Bombyx mori: one gene and its partners. Each later gene encodes a partner of the first gene's protein in a complex. Links are inferred from orthologs where the notes say so. Each region holds a gene or a part of one and is shown in the gene's direction. Other genes may lie near its edges. The genes, in order: general transcription factor IIF subunit 2; DNA-directed RNA polymerases I, II, and III subunit RPABC4; general transcription factor IIH subunit 5; general transcription factor IIF subunit 1.

What was found.
Region 2: general transcription factor IIF subunit 2 (region 1) and DNA-directed RNA polymerases I, II, and III subunit RPABC4 share a complex: the UniProt entries of both Homo sapiens proteins name them as parts of the TBP-based Pol II pre-initiation complex. The link is inferred for Bombyx mori from reciprocal best matches to the Homo sapiens genes GTF2F2 and POLR2K.
Region 3: general transcription factor IIF subunit 2 (region 1) and general transcription factor IIH subunit 5 share a complex: the UniProt entries of both Homo sapiens proteins name them as parts of the TBP-based Pol II pre-initiation complex. The link is inferred for Bombyx mori from reciprocal best matches to the Homo sapiens genes GTF2F2 and GTF2H5.
Region 4: general transcription factor IIF subunit 2 (region 1) and general transcription factor IIF subunit 1 share a complex: the UniProt entries of both Homo sapiens proteins name them as parts of the TBP-based Pol II pre-initiation complex. The link is inferred for Bombyx mori from reciprocal best matches to the Homo sapiens genes GTF2F2 and GTF2F1.

The regions. Positions count from the first base shown.
Region 1 is NC_085110.1:12,711,734-12,717,000, reverse strand, and holds general transcription factor IIF subunit 2, read left to right. Parts: upstream 1-1,985; 5' UTR 1,986-2,177; coding exon 2,178-2,454; intron 2,455-2,585; coding exon 2,586-2,797; intron 2,798-4,189; coding exon 4,190-4,315; intron 4,316-4,868; coding exon 4,869-5,042; 3' UTR 5,043-5,158; downstream 5,159-5,267. UniProt on the Homo sapiens protein: TFIIF is a general transcription initiation factor that binds to RNA polymerase II and helps to recruit it to the initiation complex in collaboration with TFIIB.
Region 2 is NC_085111.1:12,248,456-12,253,529, forward strand, and holds DNA-directed RNA polymerases I, II, and III subunit RPABC4, read left to right. Parts: upstream 1-2,177; 5' UTR 2,178-2,370; coding exon 2,371-2,434; intron 2,435-3,083; coding exon 3,084-3,176; intron 3,177-3,842; coding exon 3,843-3,865; 3' UTR 3,866-4,015; downstream 4,016-5,074. Other genes in the region: uncharacterized protein LOC119628526, read left to right, coding at 206-874. UniProt on the Homo sapiens protein: DNA-dependent RNA polymerase catalyzes the transcription of DNA into RNA using the four ribonucleoside triphosphates as substrates.
Region 3 is NC_085109.1:11,978,848-11,984,132, forward strand, and holds the start of general transcription factor IIH subunit 5, read left to right. Parts: upstream 1-2,015; 5' UTR 2,016-2,142; coding exon 2,143-2,177; exon of another isoform or gene 2,178-2,407; coding exon of another isoform or gene 2,408-2,545; intron 2,546-3,181; coding exon of another isoform or gene 3,182-3,328; intron 3,329-3,446; coding exon of another isoform or gene 3,447-3,552; intron 3,553-4,066; coding exon of another isoform or gene 4,067-4,203; intron 4,204-4,818; coding exon of another isoform or gene 4,819-4,908; exon of another isoform or gene 4,909-4,914; coding exon 4,915-5,101; 3' UTR 5,102-5,109; intron 5,110-5,285. Other genes in the region: meiotic nuclear division protein 1 homolog, read right to left, coding at 2,408-2,545, 3,182-3,328, 3,447-3,552, 4,067-4,203, 4,819-4,908. UniProt on the Homo sapiens protein: Component of the general transcription and DNA repair factor IIH (TFIIH) core complex, which is involved in general and transcription-coupled nucleotide excision repair (NER) of damaged DNA and, when complexed to CAK, in RNA transcription by RNA polymerase II.
Region 4 is NC_085121.1:15,714,382-15,719,664, reverse strand, and holds the start of general transcription factor IIF subunit 1, read left to right. Parts: upstream 1-1,765; 5' UTR 1,766-2,025; coding exon 2,026-2,049; intron 2,050-2,324; coding exon 2,325-2,503; intron 2,504-2,912; coding exon 2,913-3,047; intron 3,048-3,411; coding exon 3,412-3,513; intron 3,514-3,711; coding exon 3,712-3,780; intron 3,781-4,594; coding exon 4,595-4,710; intron 4,711-5,283. Other genes in the region: kelch domain-containing protein 4, read right to left, coding at 408-581, 937-1,047. UniProt on the Homo sapiens protein: TFIIF is a general transcription initiation factor that binds to RNA polymerase II and helps to recruit it to the initiation complex in collaboration with TFIIB. It promotes transcription elongation.

The DNA.
Region 1 (5,267 bases):
CAGCGAAGCGTTGATCTTATTAAAGTTAGTATTAGAAATTTTTGCAGGTTGAGCCCGTGAGCTCACCTACCGGTCTGCGGATAATTGGAATAGCCCCTTAGACTACCAACTATTAGTTAGAAAAAAAACTACGGAACCTATTAGTAGACAAGGACGATATCGATTCAGAGGTGTATTCCTTGATCTGTGATATTTATAGATTATACAATAAATGTCTCTCTCTCACCTAGTATCCTCGACTGACCTTGACCTAAAGTTACCAGGTCATAAATTCCCTTAAAAAAACACTTAGTAACTCTATATTCTATAATGGGTTAACAAAATTTAAACAAATTCTAAGGTGCCAAAAGTAATTCTCCTCTTAATATTCTTTAAATTTTAAGTTTAAAATCTATGTAAGGGTCAAAATAGTTAATATACCTAAAGCTCCTGTGACGTAGTACCGGTAAAATGGGGCGATTAGGGACAACTTCCAACTTTATGACCAATTTTAAGGTAGTTGTTGATGTATATAATTCTATATCAGTATCAAAATGATTGAGTCTTGGGGGCATCTTTGTTATCCAATTTAAAACTATGCAACTAGCATTCCAGTTTATGCAAAAAATGCAAAAATAGGTGTAATCCCTATTTACCCGGAAATTGCGGTTAATTGGGACGAAATGAGAAATTTGCTAGGGTTGGCACTACTTGGTTTTAATTTATTTGTTTTATTTACTTATGATTAATTTATATTTACTTGGGAAATGATCCACGACAGATTTGTCCTGTAAGTTGTGAGACAATTAAAAAAAACATCTATTTTATCACTTAAAATTAGTTCAGCGCAATCGGACAACTCCGAATGAACATTGACGGAGACCACGCTACCGTGGACATTATTGTAGTCCCAAAGGATTCTGTATATGGGAGAGTAAGCACCTAAATTCGAACGAGTGAGCTTTCTTATAAACGGTTTATATTTCTTCGGTCTTGGTAAGTACTTAGGGGCTGATATTTTTATCTGGGTTAAGAGATTAGTTATGTCGGTTATTCCATGGATTAATCAGATGAATACCCCCACTCTGAACAAATATTAAATATTTTATAATGTATTACTTAGACATTTTTGTCCACCTCGAGATTTCATTGTTCTTGTTACATGTCTGTGCAAAATCGACTTACTTATATTAAATTGCTTGGCTATTTCAAGTAAAGACTTATTCCCAATTTCATAGGCTTCTATTGCTGTTTTTAATATTAAGGGATCATATCTCTTATAAGGCTTTGCACTCTTTGATACGTAAACGCGAGGCATATCTAAAAATAGAAAACAATACGTAACTGATAATATATTTACCAAACAATAAAATAACACATTGATAATTTTAAATAAAAGTTCTAGACAAAGACATCATGAATAAACCAGATTTTTACCAACAAATTTAAAAAATATTGTTATAACTACATAGACAACCCTACAAACCTGTACCTATTTATACTTAGGTGGTTTCCATTTCACGTATTCTCATCCCAATTGACCCCTTTTTCGTTGTTATTTGTACCTAAGACGTCCCTAATATCCCCCAAAACAACAGATTTTTACATGTATTTTTATTTTATCAAATACATTAAAACCAATAACAACTGAGACTTACCTTTAATATATATGATGGTTCAAACACTAAATAACGTTTATAAATCACAGTCGTCTTCTATTATTATCAAATAAATAAAAGAGAGCAAAGTTTCTAGCACTAAAATAATTTCCAACACAGGAAGTTAATTTGAAACGCGATTTTTTATAAGTTAGCAGCTATTATCATGCATATTCAGAGTTTTTTTGTGAACTTTCAACATTCTACTATTAAACTACAAAAAATGGAAGATTTTGCAACGAATATAAAACTAATATTGTGCGTCGCAAGATTTTCCCGGTTTTTTCCCGATTCGCCTCTCAATCCCTAATCGCCCCATTTTACGGTATTTATTATATTAATCTGTGGTTAAGCTGTCACCATAGATTATACACTTAATATTTTCGAGAGCTGTCACTTATGTAGGTCTTTTGTGGAAGTGCAAGTAAATTTTCTAAGATTTAGTTATAGTTAAAGGAAATCTTTACGACTTTAGTACTTTTAAAGGCCGTTAAAATAGTGTCCGCTATCGACTGCTAATAGATTTTATATTCCACAACAATGACCGAATTGGACTTATCAAATACTGGTAGAGGAGTATGGTTGGTAAAAGTACCTAAATATATAGCAAACAAATGGGAAAAAGCTCCTGGAAACATTGAGGTAGGAAAACTAAAGATCTCCAGAGTACCAGGAACGAGAGCTAAAGTGCAGTTATCCTTGTCAGAAGCAGTGCTATGTTTAAAGGACCCTGGTGAACAAAGCATACCAAAAGAACATAAGCTTGATGTTTCAAACGTTAATACTCAATCTCTAGGTGTATTTTCGCATATTGCCCGTAAGTAGTCTCATAATTATCTATATTTAACGCCTCCTAACATGTCCTGGTGAACTCAATGATAAAATTAATTTCATGTCTAAAGTTCGATATTATATTAATCGTGTTTATTCATAATATAACCATTTTAGCGACAAATACGGACTCTGTAGTACCAGAGACAGAAAACCTTTACATGGAGGGTAGGATTGTACAGAAATTGGAATGCAGACCAAATGATGATGTGACATACTATAAGCTTAAATCTGAATCAATAAAGAAAGCATCCATGCCTCAGCGACAAGTGCAACAGCTTGACAGGATTGTTCAGAACTTCAAACCAGTATCTGACCATCCACATAATGTATGTTTACTGTTGAAATCTAAAGGATTGATTTACTGTATTTTTCAGCAACTGATCATTAAAACATGCCCCTGACTGCATTGGAAGTCAAACTAGAGATGATTAAAAAGTTTTAAATAGAGCATGTGTAGAGCTCTGAGATCTCCAGATGCAGTTCAATACTCTTTGGATATGTTGTTGAATGAAATGCTTCATATAAATTCTACTAGAAGTATTAAAATACAGGTTGCAGCAATGTCTGCTCCCATTGTATAGCAAAGTTATCATTTAGACAAACTCGAAAATAAAAACATGATTGATCAATATAAAAAATTATAAATTGTGTAGTTATTGATAGCTACTTATCTGATAACAGTCCTCCATAGGTTAGGAATTAATGGGACATAAGTAGTGATTGATATAATTGGAATGGTGGAACGGTAAATAGGGAATGTTTAGTAGCTTGGGATGGCCAAGACTGTAAAATTTGCATCTTGAGCTGGTATAAAATACAATAGGTACTTCCACCTTTTATCTGAAGATGGGTGGGCATTCATATATGTGTGGTATTGGTACAGATAGTAGGGTGTGTGTAGATATTGCTCCTGCTTATGTTTACAGCAAATCATTGTGTGCTTAGTGTGAGTTTTTAACTTCTTGATCAAACGGCCGTCTGGTGTAGTGGTAAGTGACATGGTCACTACACAAGGAGGTCGCGGGTTCGAATCCCGCCAAGGTAAGATATTTGTATGATAAATGTAAATGTCTTTCCAGGGTTATGGGTGTACATTAAATATATGTATGTGTATAATAAAATATTATATTTATTTCCGTTATCTGGTACTTGTAACACAAGTTCTTTACGAACTTAGCACGGGACCAGTTAACGTGGCGTGATTGTTAGTAAATATTTATATTTATATTTATTTATATTTAAAAAATAACTCAAATTTGTATGAAGTTGGAATAGCGCCCCTGCGTTTGCTTCTTGGGGTGCTGTTCCAACTCTGATCGAGAAGTTAAAAAGTTCACACTAAGCACATTGGTTTGAAGGAAAACCTCATACAATAGAATTGAGATTTCGACTTCTCAAGGTTTTTGGTGCTATTCATGTTATGATGACTAGTGAGGTAACCACTTTACACTGGGTGGACCACGGGGTTCTTCACTCATCTATATAGTAAATTAAATTATAAACATCAGTAAATAAAAACAAATGGCTCTGTATATTTTTACTTTCTATGAGCTCTTAAACCAACCAGAAAACTTTTCACAAGTGACACAATGAATAACAACAGGTTTTAAAATTTCTTAAGTTGTTTTACTTTTTGTATTCTATTAAGTTTATTTCATTTCATTATGTTAATCATGCTTTTTTTAATTTTGTATATTAAAATTTCGTAAAATATTTAGATTGACTACCAAGAAAGGAAGAAGGCTGAAGGGAAAAAGGCTCGTGATGATAAAGAAGCAGTGCTCAATATGCTGTTTGCAGCATTTGAGAAACATCAGTATTACAATATTAAGGATCTTCAAAAGGTAATAAATACTATTCTGATGATTTTATATTTGTCTAAACATAAAATTATTAACACATTATTAAGCAAAAAATTTAATCATTGTCTTAATAAAAAAAATAAAGGCCAAAAGAAACTGTTTCACTGTATATATTATATTCTAATTTTGATAATACTGTTCATACTTTGAAACTGAGAATAGTAGTGACTTTGAATTTAAAATTAGATGTTCATAAAAAAAAACACATCTAATTGCATTTTTTTTTATTGCTTTGATGAATGGACGAGCTCACAGCCCACCTGATGTTAAGTGGTTACTGGAGCCCATAGACATCTACAACGTAAATGCGCCACCCACCTCGAGATATAAGTTCTAAGGTCTCAGTATAGTTACAACGCCTACCCCACCCTTCGAACCGAAACGCATTACTGCTTCACGGCGGAAATAGGCGGGGTGGTGGTACCTACCCGTGTGGACTCCCAAGAGGTCCTAGTGAATTATGTAATTATTTTTTCATTAAATCATTATAATAATAGACATAACGATTTAAGTATATTATTTATTGTAATTTCAGATCACCAGACAGCCAATAGTATATTTGAAAGAAATTCTGAAAGAGGTCTGTAATTACAATTTAAGAAATCCTCACAAGAATATGTGGGAGTTAAAACCAGAATATAGGCATTACAAACAAGATGTTCCTGTTGAAACAAAGGAGGATAAGAACAGTAATTCTGATACTGAATAGACTGAAATTTGTATTAATTATACAAATATACATAAATATGGATGTCAGAGAATCCTCGACAGAAGCAAAGTTTTTATGTATTTTTCAATAACTTATATTATAAGATGTGTTAAGAATGTGAATTTTTCATTATTACCTGTAATATTATGTGATCAATCTTGGGTGTATACTCGAAATAATGTAAAGATTTTAAAAATAATTATTATTGTGTATTCTTGGACAGTA
Region 2 (5,074 bases), on another chromosome or scaffold:
GATAGTGTACACCGATGAGTCCTATGTCGACTCATCACATGCAAGTGGTATGTCGTGGTCAGATGGATCAACTGGGGGTTTAAAAAAACCAATTTCGAAAGGACAGCGTGTAGTAATAGTGCATGCTGGCTCCGAAGATGGATTTGTTCCCAATGCCCTTCTTTTGTTTAAAGCTGGCACAAAATCTGGTGACTACCACGATAACATGAACTATTTGAACTACGAAAAATGGCTGCGTTGTCAATTGCTACCAAATCTGCCACCAAATTCCGTTGTAGTAGTCAACAATGCGTCATATCACTATAAACAGTCTGACCCCGCTCCAACTGCCAATGCCAAAAAAGTCTATATGAAGAAATGGTTACAAGAAAAAGAAATTCCATACGATGAAAACATGTTGAAACCCCAGCTTTTTAGCTTGATTAAAGCACATAAGGAACAACACAAAACATACAGCATTGATAAAATTTTATCAAACCACAACCATTCAGTGCTTCGCTTACCTCCATACCATCCAGACCTCAACCCAATTGAAATGGCTTGGGCAGCTATTAAAGGGTATGTCAGTAGCAAAAATGTCGACTGGAGCACTGGCAAAGTAATAGAGCTAGTGAAGGAAAAGGTCGCGGTGATGGGTGCTCCGGAATGGGGTAGAATATGTCAAAAGATAAAAGATATTGAGGCGGAGTATGTAAAAAGTGATCATGTGGTAGATTTAGTCACTGATGAGTTTGTAATTTTTGCTGACGATGATTGCGACACGGATGAAGAAAGTAGTGATGATGATGATGATGGTCATGATTATGATAGCGAAAAAACAATTAAAAATACCAGCTCAGCTTCAGCTGATCCAAGACCTGGCACCAGCTCCTAGTTTTGACCTAATGGAAGGAATATCTATTTTACCCCTAGATTAAATTACTACAATTATTAACCTGTATTTTTTGTTCATGTACTAATAAATATATAAATAAATACATATTATGTTGTTTTTAATAACTTAACATTTTTGTACGTAATTGTACGATGCGCGAACTTACCCCCACTACGTCAACTAATGCTCAAGAAGTTTGCCGAGTATTAAGCGAATAGGCAGGTGCAGGTAGGGAAAAAAATGAAAAAATATTTATTTCTTTGTTTACTATGTTTGTTTTTTTAAGGGATTTTATGACCTGGTAACTAAGACCTTTAGGTCAAGTCTTATTTTAATTTTAATGATAACTTTTTTATATGAAAAATGATATTATTAAATGAAATGAAGTTGATTATTGTGAAACATGGCATGAAATGAAATGAAAACGAAATGAAATGAGAAAATATGGGATGAAATATAATCTCAGTAAAATGGTGGTCATTTACTAAGATTTTTCAGTGGACTTTTTGGAGGATCCCGAGAAGTTACGTCCAGCGGCTTTGTTCCATTTTCCCACATTTGTGCACTTTCACAGATATTAAACTGCTAATAAACCACCATTATTACACATTTAAACCCGAAGAAACACTAAATAGACAAAATATAACAAATCACACAATATCACTCCTCGCGTTCCCGCCAAAAAGTCTGTTTTTCTATGTTTGGGAGCTTAATGCACAGATTAGCTAACTCAATCCATAAATAAAATGTAAAAAAATATGCCATTTATTTGCTTTACGGCTCACTGAATTTGGTCCCCTTTTTTAATTTTCGATTTTTTTAATTTTTAATTATTTGTTCGTCGTTTGTTCGTTAATGTTCGCGCGTAACAAAAAGGTAGTAAATACGGCCGTCGGCCATTGCCATCTGACTGACAAAACCGGCGCATGCGCAATGTAGGCGTGAGGTGATAATTTGCTTATTAGATATAAAATAATTAATAATTTCGAATTTACTTGTTTTTATGATCGAACAATCACCAATAGTCGTCGAACAAACAATAATTGATCAAAATTAATTAATCTGAGCAATAAAAACAAAGATATCTAGTAAGAGGGGCCAACTGAAGGGTGATCATTTGTTTAATTAATTATAAATAAATAAAAGACGAACAGATAATTTTACATTCAAACATTGACGATCAAACGACGAACAAATAATTAAAAATAATCCTCGGTTCCCCTCCAATGTCCCGATGATTTTTTCTTTTAAATTTCCACTCCTTTTTTTACGTATTTTTTTCTTCAACAAGACAAGCCCTCTTTTGAACAAAACGTTTTATGGTTTAAGTTCCCTTTGCGGCTTAATTAAACAAATCCAAAAACCATAGATTCTACACACAAAATAACAATCCAAAGCATAGATTATACACTTAATATAAAGCTTAAATCAAATTGGTGATTTAAAATAAAACACATTTTTTATTATTATTTAATTTTTCTCTATTTTAGCACATAATGGCTGACACAACTGGGAAAGAGCAATCAGTTACTAAAGTGCCAATGATATATGTTTGTGGAGGTACAGTGTAACCAAATAATAACAAAACTTCTATCACTTTGTAAAACACTAACACAAAATAACCTAATAATTGTTAGGTATCAGCATACCCCAATAATTGAATATTTTTTTTGTATTTCTTTTTCTCTTGATTTATGAACATTTTTTATAGAAAAAAGAAAGAAACTACTTTTAAAATGTTCTTACCGATAACACTAAGCTTGTCAATGTCTACTAAACAAAGAATTAATAAATCAGTTAATTTGTCTTTTGTGTATAGTAGATTATAAAATTATTCACACTGTCTTATAACATTGTATAAATTAAGGCGTTTTGTTTAATGTGTTATTGTTTTACTATATTTCAAATGGGGAATGCATCTGTATAAATATAAATGTTCTTTAGTAAAGCTAAAAGCCGTAAAAGCTTAAGTGCTTTTAATAAAACTTGTTAATATTAATATTAAAATTTAAAAAACCTAAACTTAAAAGTATTAGAAAAATGAAATTGATTCAATTGAGAGTAAATTATATTGTTTGCCCTTTTCTACATTATTGTTTTTGCCGATCATCTACTTCAACTGTTTAAATGTTGGTTTCTTTAATAAATGCAATCCTGAAACTATAATATGGGTCTGCAAAACAAATGATGCTTTCATTATCATTTTCAGAATGTCACAAAGAGAATGAAATCAAACCAAGAGATCCTATTAGGTGCAGAGAATGTGGTTACAGAATAATGTACAAGAAAAGAACAAAAAGACGTATCCTTTTGATTCTATAAATATATTCTTAAAGTAAAGATTATAGGACTAGGATACAGCCTAGTGATTTTAATCAGTAGAAAGGTATTGACAGGTATCACCCATATTTAATTCCTTCATTGTGGAAGTGATTCGTGATCACATTTCGAGAGTATATTTCTTTGGATATTGGTATATGCAATTTGCACATTTGCATGGTTGCACAGCTTGACACAACTACACCATCTGTTTTATCCTTTAGATCACATTGAGCTTGCAAGAAAATAAATGTAATAAATGAGTCGACTATTATCAAAGGCGGCAATCTGACTTTTGGACAATGATTGGTAAATCAGAAAAACGAATTATTGACTTTGTATTCCATTGGCAGTCACAAAACTCTTCGGAACGACATCTTAGATAAATAACAGGTTAACTATTAACCTTTATTTAATGCAGGTTTTGAACCGTATTCTTTGAAGGAGACGATTATATTCAAATAAATCTGTATTGACATATCAATAAAAAAAAATTGTCCAAATGTACAGATTGCCACCTTTGATAATAGACGACTCATATCTGTTAAAATCTTCAGAAAATTACCCTTTTTGTAGTTTGTGTTGATTTTAAATTCATCATATTTTTGTTCGTAATATTCTGAAAAATTTTCCTTAAGTAAGAATTCAGTGGTTGTGTTTGACGCTCGGTAAACGAATTCTGGAAACAAAACCCTAGAAGATAAGTTCGGTGGATACATCATGCACAGAAGAGTGAAATAAATTTATAATAAGGTTAATGTGTATTTTTGTTACTTTGTCTATGCTCTAATAATACTGACCAATGAAAAAAAATATATACAAGGTAGTTTTTTTATAGTAGATTTATAGATCTACATCATCACTTTACATTATATACTGGTGGTAGCCCATAGACATTAAAACATGAATGCCACCTACCGCCATGATATATGTGTTCTAAATTGTACCCAATAGATATAAGTAATCTGAATGATTTGAAGTATCAATCAACTTATTTGATGTTTCTAAATGAACTACTGCCTTAAAAAAAAAAGACTTAAGTGCAAGAAAAATATGTAACTTTATAGATAGATATCAAATGAGTTCATTATCTTTTTTTTTTATTGCTTCGATGGGTGAATGAGCTCACAGCCCACCAGGTGTTAAGTGGTTACTGGAGCCCATAGACATCTACAACGTAAATGCGCCACCCACCTTGAGATAAAGTTCTAAGGTCTCAAGTATAATTACAACGGCTGCTTCACCCTTCAAACCGAAACGCATTACTGCTTCACGGCAGAAATAAGCAGGGCGGTGGTACCTACCCGCGCGGTCTCACAAGAGGTCCTACCACCAGTAATTACGCAAATTATAATTTTGCGGGTTTGATTTTCATTACACGATGTTATTCCTTTAATCGTAAACATGGGTGGCGGCATTTACGTGTGACCGTTGGCCAGTTTTGCACACGACACCGCTAGTGGCGCCAGACGCAAAGTGTCAATATGGAGTACTTTCGTAAAACTTCCGTTAAATAATAACAACTAATAAAAAAAACAAAAGGGAAATATCTCAGTGTATTTTAATTATGTAACTTCATCATTATAAAGTTTTAACAATTTATTAAAATTATTACCTCTCATAATAAAACACCAGAAAATGTATGTCTAAAATTTTACAATAGCCACAAATATACATTTTTTTTCGATCCATAAAAACTATCAATAAATAATTGTTAGGACTCACGACATTAATATCAAATTTAATTTTTCACACATTCCTCTAAGTCAACTTTTTGCTTACGTTATATAATAGTGAATATAAACATGCTATGGGTATACACATGCATAAAGAAAATTTGAATAAAGAGATTTAATTCCATTCTATAGTTACCAACTCACT
Region 3 (5,285 bases), on another chromosome or scaffold:
ATTATCAAAGGTGGCAATCTGTGCATTTGGACAAAAAAATGTTATTGATATGTCAATACAGATTGAGTTGAATATAATCGTCTCCTTCAAAGAATACGGTTCAAAACCTGCATTAAATAAAGGTTAATAGTTAACCTGTTATTTATCTAAGATGTCGTTCCGAAGAGTTTTGTGACTGCCAATGGAATACAAAGTCAATAATTCGTTTTTCTGATTTACCAATAATTGTCCAAAAGTCAGATTGCCGGCTTTGATAATAGTCGACTCAAATAAGCATTTATATTAAAATAAGACATGACTTAAAGGTCTTAGTTACCAGGTCATAAAATCCCTTAAAAAAAAAGCTTACACTTACGCCTTAAAGGCTTATTACACTTGGCTAAATTTAGTCGACTGAATTCAAAAGCAAATTTAGAAGCAAGTTGGAAGCTTCTGATTACACTGTTCTTAACTTCAGTTACTGAATCAATTGTCAGTATAAACGCGACGAAGTAGGACGTGTCGTGTGTGTGTGAATGGCCCCAGTATTATCTAAACAACAAAAAATTGGTCTAGGCGCAGACCTCGCTGTCGGCTCAATTGAAAAAAAAAAAAAATGAAGAGTATGGGCGAAGAAATATATATTGCTGCGCGGAAAGTTAGCAAATATGAACATTATGAGTGATTTATCTATCCGATGATATGTAGGAGAAGTAAAATGTCCCTTAGAAATAAGGTGACACTCTACAAAACTTGCATACGCCCCGTCATGACCTATGCAAGTGTAGTGTTCGCTCACGCGGCCCGCATACACTTGAAATCATTCCAAGTCATTCAATCCCGTTTTTGCAGGATAGCCGTCGGAGCCCCGTGGTTCGTCAGGAACGTCGACCTCCATGACGACCTGGACTTCGAGTCCACCAGTAAGTATATGCAGTCGGCGTCAATGCGCCACTTCGATAAAGCGGCACGACACGAGAACCCTCTCATCGTGGCCGCCGGTAACTACATTCCCGATCCTGCGGACAGAATGGAAAGCAGTCGACGTCGCCCAAAACACGTCATCTCGGATCCTCCCGATCCACTAACGGTGCTTTTAGGTACTTCAAGCACCGGTCACCGTTCTCGTCGAACCCGTCGCTTGCGACGAAGGGCTCGACGAGTAAATTAACTCTTAGACACAGCCCACTGAGTTTCTCGCCGGATCTTCTCAGTGGGTCGCGTTTCCGATCCGGTGGTAGATTCTGCGAAGCACGGCTCTTGCTAGGGTTCGTGTTAGCAACATCGTCAGGTTTGAGCCCCGTGAGCTCACCTACAAAAGTTAGGGTTACGCTGATATAGCCTCTCAAGGCTCTCAGCTTAGGCAGGAAAAAAAAAAAAAAAAAAAAAAAAAAAAAAGAATGATTTAGAACCAGCAGACTTCAGAAATGATCTACGAATGGATTCGAGGTCGTTTGACCAAATATTAAGCCTTGTGGCACAATTTTTTTCAAAAGCAGGATACTATCCTACGATACTACTATAGTCTATTATATATCTATATTATATAACTATTACATATCTAATCCTACGATAGTATAAGTCCAAAAGAAAGATTGGTTGTAACATTAAGATTTCTTGCAACAGGAAATTCGTATCAAGATTTAATTTTTAGTTCTTTATAATATCCCAACCCCTTCTGACAAAAATTATCCCTGAAACAAGTTGGGCTATTTATAAATGTTTGGCACATTTAATAAAGGTGAGCGAAATAAATACTTTTTATTCGGAAGTAAAAAACAAACTAAGCCGTCCTTACGCACGGAGAGCTATGGGACGACTGAAATCATTAAGTAACTAAATGCGATTACACCTTCTTATATGCGTTTCTAATTAGGCTTCTAAATGATTTAGTCAGTCAGAAACCATCCTTGCTACTGAATTTAGCAGGTTAACTTACTGAATGCTATTACACCGACTAAATTTAGCAAAGTGTAATGAGCCTTCCACACTTACCCATAAATAATAGATATTAAGTGTATAGTCTATGAATAATAGTTTATAATAGTAATAGTATTCTGTATAACCTATGGTATCTACTGAAAGTAGGGAGTAAATAGGTACCTACATACTTTATTTACAATTAATTATTACATAAAGTGACAAGTTCTAAAACAATGAACCATGGTGAATGTAATGAAAGGTGTCCTCGTTGAATGGTATTTATTATTTTTATTTCTCACAAATATTACTTTTACATATGCAAACTTACAGATAAAGTTAGAATCGTTACAATGTGCTTTAATGATTTGAATTTTAAATTACATCAGTTAATCAATTTACTACGTACAATATATTAACTTGCCAAAGAATTTCTTCTTTGGTTTTTCCCATACTTAAATTTAATGTTCTGGGCCTAGGTTATGAGGAATGCCTTGTATATAAAACTTCATTCAATGTAATCCATATCTTTAGGTATGTTAAAATTTTCTTCTAGTGCATCAATATCTATTTGAAAACTATTTTTTATATAAGATTTCAATATATATACATTTTCTGTCCATCTGTTGCTGGCTGTTTTCAATTCCTACAAAATGAAACATTTTTAATCCAATATTATTATTTGATAATATTATAGTTATGTCTTTGGTTATACATACTACCACCTACAGAAAGCTATTTATCAAAACATAGTATTTTTTTAAATGTACTTTGTTTTCCTTATTTTTAAATAATGAATACAATGCTTAATTAATATACTGATAAGTTATATTGAGTAATATTACCCACCAAATAATAAAATATATATTTTCTAGCATGAAATAGACATGTTAGACTTAAAAGTCATTACCAGTTGTAAGCTCATACAGTTTTGTCATTCTGCCTACATCTGCCAAAAAAAATATACACATTCCAGTTTGATCAGTTCACTTGGCCTTTATGAAATATAATAGTAACTGATCTAATGTGTGCAATATTAAAGTGGGTAGCAGAAGTCACATTGTGATACCTATCAACTTCAGTAACTTACTTAACACTTCAGAAACACTAAATACTATACTACTATAGAAAGGCCATGAACTGATTCATCAATTACTAAATCCTTAAACTTGGGACATTGGCCTTATCTATTGCGCTCACAGTGGGGCGCTAATATGAGCTTGAATGGAATATAGACCTTAAGACATCATCTCATCTACATTAATATAAGAATTGGATTTACAGTTATTTCACGTCTCAGTTGTGCAATATATTCAGGATCAGATTCTCTGTATTTTTGTAATTCTCTCTTATATGAAGCCTCTTGCTTTTGAAGATCTTCTAAAGATGATAATATTTTTATTCTTTCTTCAGATATCTCTCTGCCTTTCTAATATTAAAGTCAATTAATAAATATATCAGTCTCTGATAAATATAGAATAGAATTAAGTTTCATTATAACTCTATAGACTATACTATACTAAGTAAAAAACTATAAATATTCTGACCGATTCTGCTATAAGGACTTCCTCAGTTTTCTTTAACTTCTTCGTACATTCATCAAATTCATTCTGGAGTTCTTGTAGCTTCCTCTTCTTGGTACTTTTTGCTTTGCTACAAGTAATTTATTTAATGTTTGCATGGCATTACCACAGCTTGCTTGATTTGAAAAATAATTTTGCAGTCATAAATTTTTAAAAAGCACAATTGTTTACTCTTAATTTCTCATAGCATCAGTGTGTAAAGTCCATGTAAATTTTATTATTCAAAATAATAAAACTAGTCTTAGTCAATGACTGACTCGGTGGTGCAAAAGTTGGCACCCCTGACTGCCGAAAGTTGTGGATTCGATTCCCATATTGGGCAAAAATTTATTCATTCAGCTTTACTGCTTACATGAGTCCACCTGGTTTTACATGGTAACCGAAGCCCATAGACATTACAACATAAATGCTGCCACCTGCCTTGAGACAAGATTTCTAAGGTCTCAGTTGTAACAGCATGATGACCTAACACCCTTCAAACCGAAATAAATAACTGCTTAATGGCAGAAATAGGCCAGATTTGACGCCAGATGATAATGTACTGTTCTGTTCCCAGTTATTTAGTTAGTTGTTTAACATAGTACCTTGGGAAAGACCAAAAGTACACTGAAGTCCCAATTTTTTCAGAATCAACCAGGTGATCATCAATTAGACTCTGAATCACTTCTTTAACTGATTGCATTGTAATACCCTTTTCTTTTGGTGCTATTTTTTCTAGTTCCTGTAAAAGTTAAAATATAAAATATTATCTTAATAGATTTTGTTATGGCCACTTCTGTTTTATGTGCTGTCTAAACATTTTCTTTTGAACTAATTATTGACTATTTGGTGACTCAACTAACATGATCACCAACAAATAAGAAATTGGACTCCTACCAAGTAAGTCAAATGATGAGTAAACATTCGTGAAAACTTCATTTATTATTACTTTGCTCTCAATTAATTAAAAAACGACCTTGCATTGCTAGTAAGTAAGAAACTCCAGACACTATTTCACACTGTCTCATTTATCCTAAATAAGAGATATATTTTATTGCTTAGTTGAGTGGAAGAGCTTAATACCCACCCCTGGTGTATGTGATTAGGTTACTGGAGTCAACAGACATCACAATGTATGTGCCACCCATCAGTATTATCAGATTTCATTAATTATTTATTGTGAAAGTCATTTATAAACATGTTTAATTACAAAGTTCATTACTAAAATTGGCACCTAACCGCTGGGTTTAAACATTGCTATAATAATACTGTTTAATATGAGTACATCTGGCATCTTATCGTTTAGGGCAGAGTGACATCGAAAGCTATGTATGAAGTTGTAATTTAATGAGGTTACCTTTAATTGAAAAAAATCTTGACTTTGATGGAATATTTCAAGCATTCTGGTCTTCTTTTCATCAGCACTAAGACCTCGTTTCTTGGACATTTTCAGTGATCCGGCAATGAAACAATTCTTACTACACTTGGATGAAACTCTTGCACTTGGTAGAAAGTTTATTCTTCAAGACCTGGATGAAACACACTTGTTCATATCAGCTGATATTGTGGAGACTCTACAAGCTCGCGTTGACGATTTAATGGACCAGCTCAGCATACCCGTGCACGATAAAGGATTATAAATTACGAGGTAAATATTCAAACATATTTGTATAATATATGGTGATAGAGATCCGCATTTGTGCGCGAATCGCGAAATTTTACTTCATCATCATCATCATCATCAGCCTTTATCTGCCCACTGCTGGACATAGGCCTTCCCCAATGCCTTCCACATAATGCTTTTTTTTATTAATATTATTAGGT
Region 4 (5,283 bases), on another chromosome or scaffold:
TTTATTAAATACTTCTTGTGAATTGAGATAGTTCCTTACAAAGTGGATGTATAGATTTATTCTTGATAGACTGTATGTTAGTATCAAGTCATGAAAGCACACAATGTATTCTGTAAAAGTGATAGCAATTAGGCACATTTATGTATGTATATTCTTCTATCAAAATCACTCATCATCATTCTATACCTATTTCTGCCACAAAGTATGCATTCCAGTTTTAAGGGTTAAAGAAGTAATTCAACTTGATGTCTCAGTTAGTAATGCTATTCATGTTGTAATGTCTAAATTCAGTAATAACTTAACACTGGATGGACTATAAAATTACAGATACACCAATTTATGTATTTTCTTTATCCATCATGATACTTTACCTAATATTGTAATATCTCTAAAAATGAAATTGATACCTTTTGTCCGTTGTGGTATTCTCCACCAAACAGCACAAGCTCATTATTGATTGGATGTGGGGTGAGCGTTGCGTACGCTCTGGAGGATGGTGGCTTTTCGAGGACCTTCTCTGATGCAGCATATCGTTTAGCTTCCTCCCGTTCTATCTCAGCTATCACTTTAGCTATATCTTCCTGAAATATACATAATACAAAACTTCTATTAAAATTTTACTTGCTCTTTCTTCAGCTTTAGTTTAGTGACAAAATGACTTTTATTATCATTTACGTCATATCATAGAAGTAGTTTTTGTTATTATATTATCTCCAAATAATTAAAGCTAGATTAAATCATAAAAATATAAATTATTTCGAATTATTTAATTTTATGTTTTTCATGACTTTTACAAAATTTACCCATTTAAATAATTTTAGTAAGTTAGTTTCAATAACATTTAAGTTTATACTACTATATTAGATCCATTAGGGCGTAATTTCAGGTAACTTTTTGAGAGTTTCTAATAAATAGTGCGAAAAGGCATGGTCTAACCTCACCAAGATTTGCGAGTTCTTTTTTTAATTTGCTAGCTAGCTTTTTTTCAGTTTTTGCTGCGGTTTTAACAGCGCCACTAACTTTATTCTTATTTTTCTTTTTACCCATTTTAATGAAAAATAAATTAACTTAAATTTCTAAATATTTTATGAAACAGATTTTTAAGTATTGTGATTATTATTGTAAACAGTTTTTTTTTTCTTTTTTCATTGGCAATGGGAATACAGCCAAAATAATCAAAGCCATATCTGTTTTATGATTATAACTTTTAGGATGGAAGGGCTTGATAGAACATTTGATCCTACAAATACATTCTTACTGAGTTCAAGATTCCGTTCAAATTTTGAGTTCTTTGGACACATTGTCAGAAAGAAGATGACAATTTAGAATAATTGCTGGTAACAGGCAAAGTATGCGGAAGAAGGTTCAGAAGCAGAAGTCCAATGCTATGATTGCACTAGCTGCCTCTACTCTCAACACCTCAGTCCACGATGCCCTCCGGAAAGTCAAGGATAGGCAATGTTGGCGCAGGATAGTCCAAGCGAAATTATTATGGGACGCCATGACCCTCATTGTTGTGGATTATCGACGCAAAGAGGAGGTGACTAACCTTGTGGGTAATTTCTAATGCTGGACGACAATATGCTAAGCTGCTGTAAACATTTGATAAGATTGCTTTTTCGTCACGTATGAAAAAAATGTTTTAAATCCTAATGACTATTGCATGTTTATTAAAATAATAGAAGTCATGAGCATAGTTAAATGATAATATTATTTAGTCATATATGACTTGATACTTATGATCATAAATTCATTGACAGACTGAAATGTGCTCTGTGCTTGATGAAATTTTGACTTTTGACATTAATTTGACAGAATTTTCATTTTGCCAGCACAGTTTGCGATTAGCATTGTTTTAATTGATTACAATATTTTTAATCAAAGAGTAAACTGTAACGTAATAAATTATTTGATTTGAAGAAATTTAACGTGTACGTTAGTGAGATCATGATATCGAGGACTATTGTCATTTGATAAATTTATATACCGTCATTAATCTTGATATTATAGATATAAGTGTAAAAAATGTCTACACCTGGAAGTAGTACGGTAAGATATTATTCGTTCTTAAACGAAAAAGGTGAAATATCGTGATACGATATTTCACCTTTTTCGTTTAAGAACTTAAAACAATCAACAAATTGTGAGGTTCAAAATAATATTAAATTAATATGCAAGAATATGTGTTCTTACTGAAGTAAGTAGGTACATAAAAGGATAATATAACCAAATTTGATAAATTTTACCAAATCATACATAGAATGGTATCGTAATCATTTAAACAATAGTTACGATTTCACAGATATAATAAATTAATTTCTCAGACACCGGCCGCCACAGTACAGGAGTATAAAATAAGAGTGCCAAAGAATGTAAAGAAGAAGTATCATGTTATGAGGTTCAATGCCACATTGAATGTAGATTTTGCAAAATGGACTCATGTCAAGATGGAGCGAGAGAACAACAGCAAAGAATTCAAAGGAGCTGAAGAGGAAATGCCCAAGTTAGTATTAAGAAAATTCAACTCTTTGATGGTGATATCAAATAGATTGACTTAATAATCATAAATTAATTTTCTACATCATTAAAAATAAATGTGAAAAGTATGTCATAATTTTATGGCATAATTATTTAATATTAAGTTAATTCTGTAACTCAAAAAATTTGCATGCTAGCAGATAATAATACAAAGAATAGTCAAAAACTGGAAACCGGTTGGTTAACATTGTTGACACTAAAGACTGACACACCTTAAATTAAGGTTATTTACTCAATGCTTTAAAAAATAGATTTGCCATGAACACCCTTTATAAAAAGTGATCTTAACAGCTCCAAGATTATTGAATACTTGGGAATTAAAATACTACTACTATTACGTAATATTTTTGGTAATACTCGTCACACAAATCCAGATTTGGTGCAGGCTCGGAATACGGACGGGACATGCGTGAGGAAGCACGTCGCAAGAAATTCGGTATAATATCAAGAAAGTACAAACCGGAAGACCAGCCGTGGATCCTGAAAGTCGGTGGAAAGACCGGCAAGAAGTTAGTAATTAACAAATAACAATAACCTCTTCTGATATTGTTTGGTGGTTCCTTTACAACAAATGCACAAGAAATAATTTAATTTCACATGAGTTGGAACAATTTTTACACAACAAAAGATTTATCAGAATCGTTTAACCTAGAAAAAGTTCGAAGATAAAAATAAAATAAATAAAATTAAATCAGAACTTCTTCCTTTTTCATTAAAAGTCAATGATTGAAAACAGGATGAAAAACTGCATATAATTAAATGAAAAGTCTTGTGTTATAGACTAACGTGTGGTTATGCCTATTTGCTTGCTCTATATAATACTAATTAATATGTAACTGGTAATTTTCATATCATGTATTATCATATTTTTAGATTCAAAGGTATTCGTGAAGGTGGAGTATCAGAGAATGCTGCATATTATGTGTTCACTCACGCAGCGGATGGCGCAATAGACGCCTATCCACTCCAGGAATGGTACGGAATGTTCATGCAATATTTACAAAACATGAAAGAAATGCTTCTATTTTATTTAAAAATAATCTGAATGCTGTGTGTGAATCTCTGTTCCTTTATTATTATTTTGTGTTATTAATGTTCTTTTTTAATTGCTCAAATATAGTAGAAAAATGAAGGTAGTTAATTCTTAAGAAACTAAAAACTGAATTCTAACAGGTACAATTTCCAACCGATTCAGAGATACAAAGCGCTGTCAGCTGAAGAAGCCGAACAGGAATTTGGCAGGTAAGATGGTCCATGACATTTTTTTTATTTTTTTTTATTTGCTTAGATGGGTGGACGAGCTCACAGCCCACCTGGTGTTAATTGGTTACTGGAGCCCATAGACATCCACAACGTAACCACCGACCTTGAGATATAAGTTCTAAGGTCTCAAGTATAGTTACAATGGCTGCCCCACCCTTCAAACCGAAACGCATTACTGCTTCACGGCAGAAATAGTCAGGGTGGTGGTACCCACCCGCGCGGACTCACAAGAGGTCCTACCACCAGTAAAATTACTTGTAAATCATTTACTCATATTTTATACAGACTGTCATTCCCGAAAATGAAGGTGCTTTGTAATTATCCTAAATCCTTTGACGATAATGATCTAGAGCTTAAATGATTGTTTTTCGCACTGCATGTAACGATAAATATAATATAGGAAAAAAAAAACCAGATCATAATAGATAGTTGAACTTAAAATTAAAATATATTTTTTTATTGTTGTCTGCATATTTGAAGAATTGAGTACTTATGCTTTATCTAAATAGAAAAAAGACAAAACACTTTATTACATCTCTGTTTCAGGGCAACAGACTATTGTTATAAAACTAATAATTTGAAAAAAAAAGTTTATTTTTTGTACATTAAAGATATACGAGAATGATTACAATAACTTTATTGTTTGAATTATTTGAAAATTTATTGCTTTTTGGTCTCCGTCGCCCCGTATATAGTATATGAGAAAGATGGTTGGACCGAATCCATTGCTGTTTCTAGTGACATTTCAAAATATGTTTCATTGAAGTCGATGATCGATTTTTTTCTGCACTAGGCGTAACAAGGTTATGAATTTCTTCTCGTTGATGTTACGGAAACGGCTCCGCGGAGTCGACGATGCAGACGAAGAGGACCCAGACGAAAAGAAAGCTAAAGGGAAAGCTAAAAAAGGTACTCAGTTTCCGGTATTCAAAGCCAGAGGTGGGGTCAGCTGAAGCTGGTGATGGTAGGTCTTATGGTAAAATAAAGCAAGCACTTAAAGCGTAGTTGGTTTCTAACATCGTCAGCTGGACTTCGTACTGGTATGCTGTGCTTATAGCATTACATTACTAAAGCCACTGCGGGCAAGGGCTTCGCTATTAAGGGTGAGGTCAAAAGGTTTTTACTGGTGGTAGGACCTTTTGTGAGTCCGCACGCATTACGCAACTGACAACTCACAAAATTACGCTCGTTTATTTATTTATTTTTTATTGCTTAAATGGGTGAACGAGCTTACAGCCCAACTGGTGTTAAGTGGTTACTGGAGCCCATAGACATCTACAACCTAAATGCGCCACCCACCTTGAGATATAAGTTCTAAGATCTCAGTATGGTTACAAGGGCTGCCCCACCTTTCAAACCGAAATGCATTACTGCTTCACGTCAGAAATAGGCAGGGTGGTGGTATCTACCCGTGCAGACTCACGAGAGGTCCTACCACCAGTCTTACAACTATCGTGTCATCATCGTGCCCGAGAACCGTAA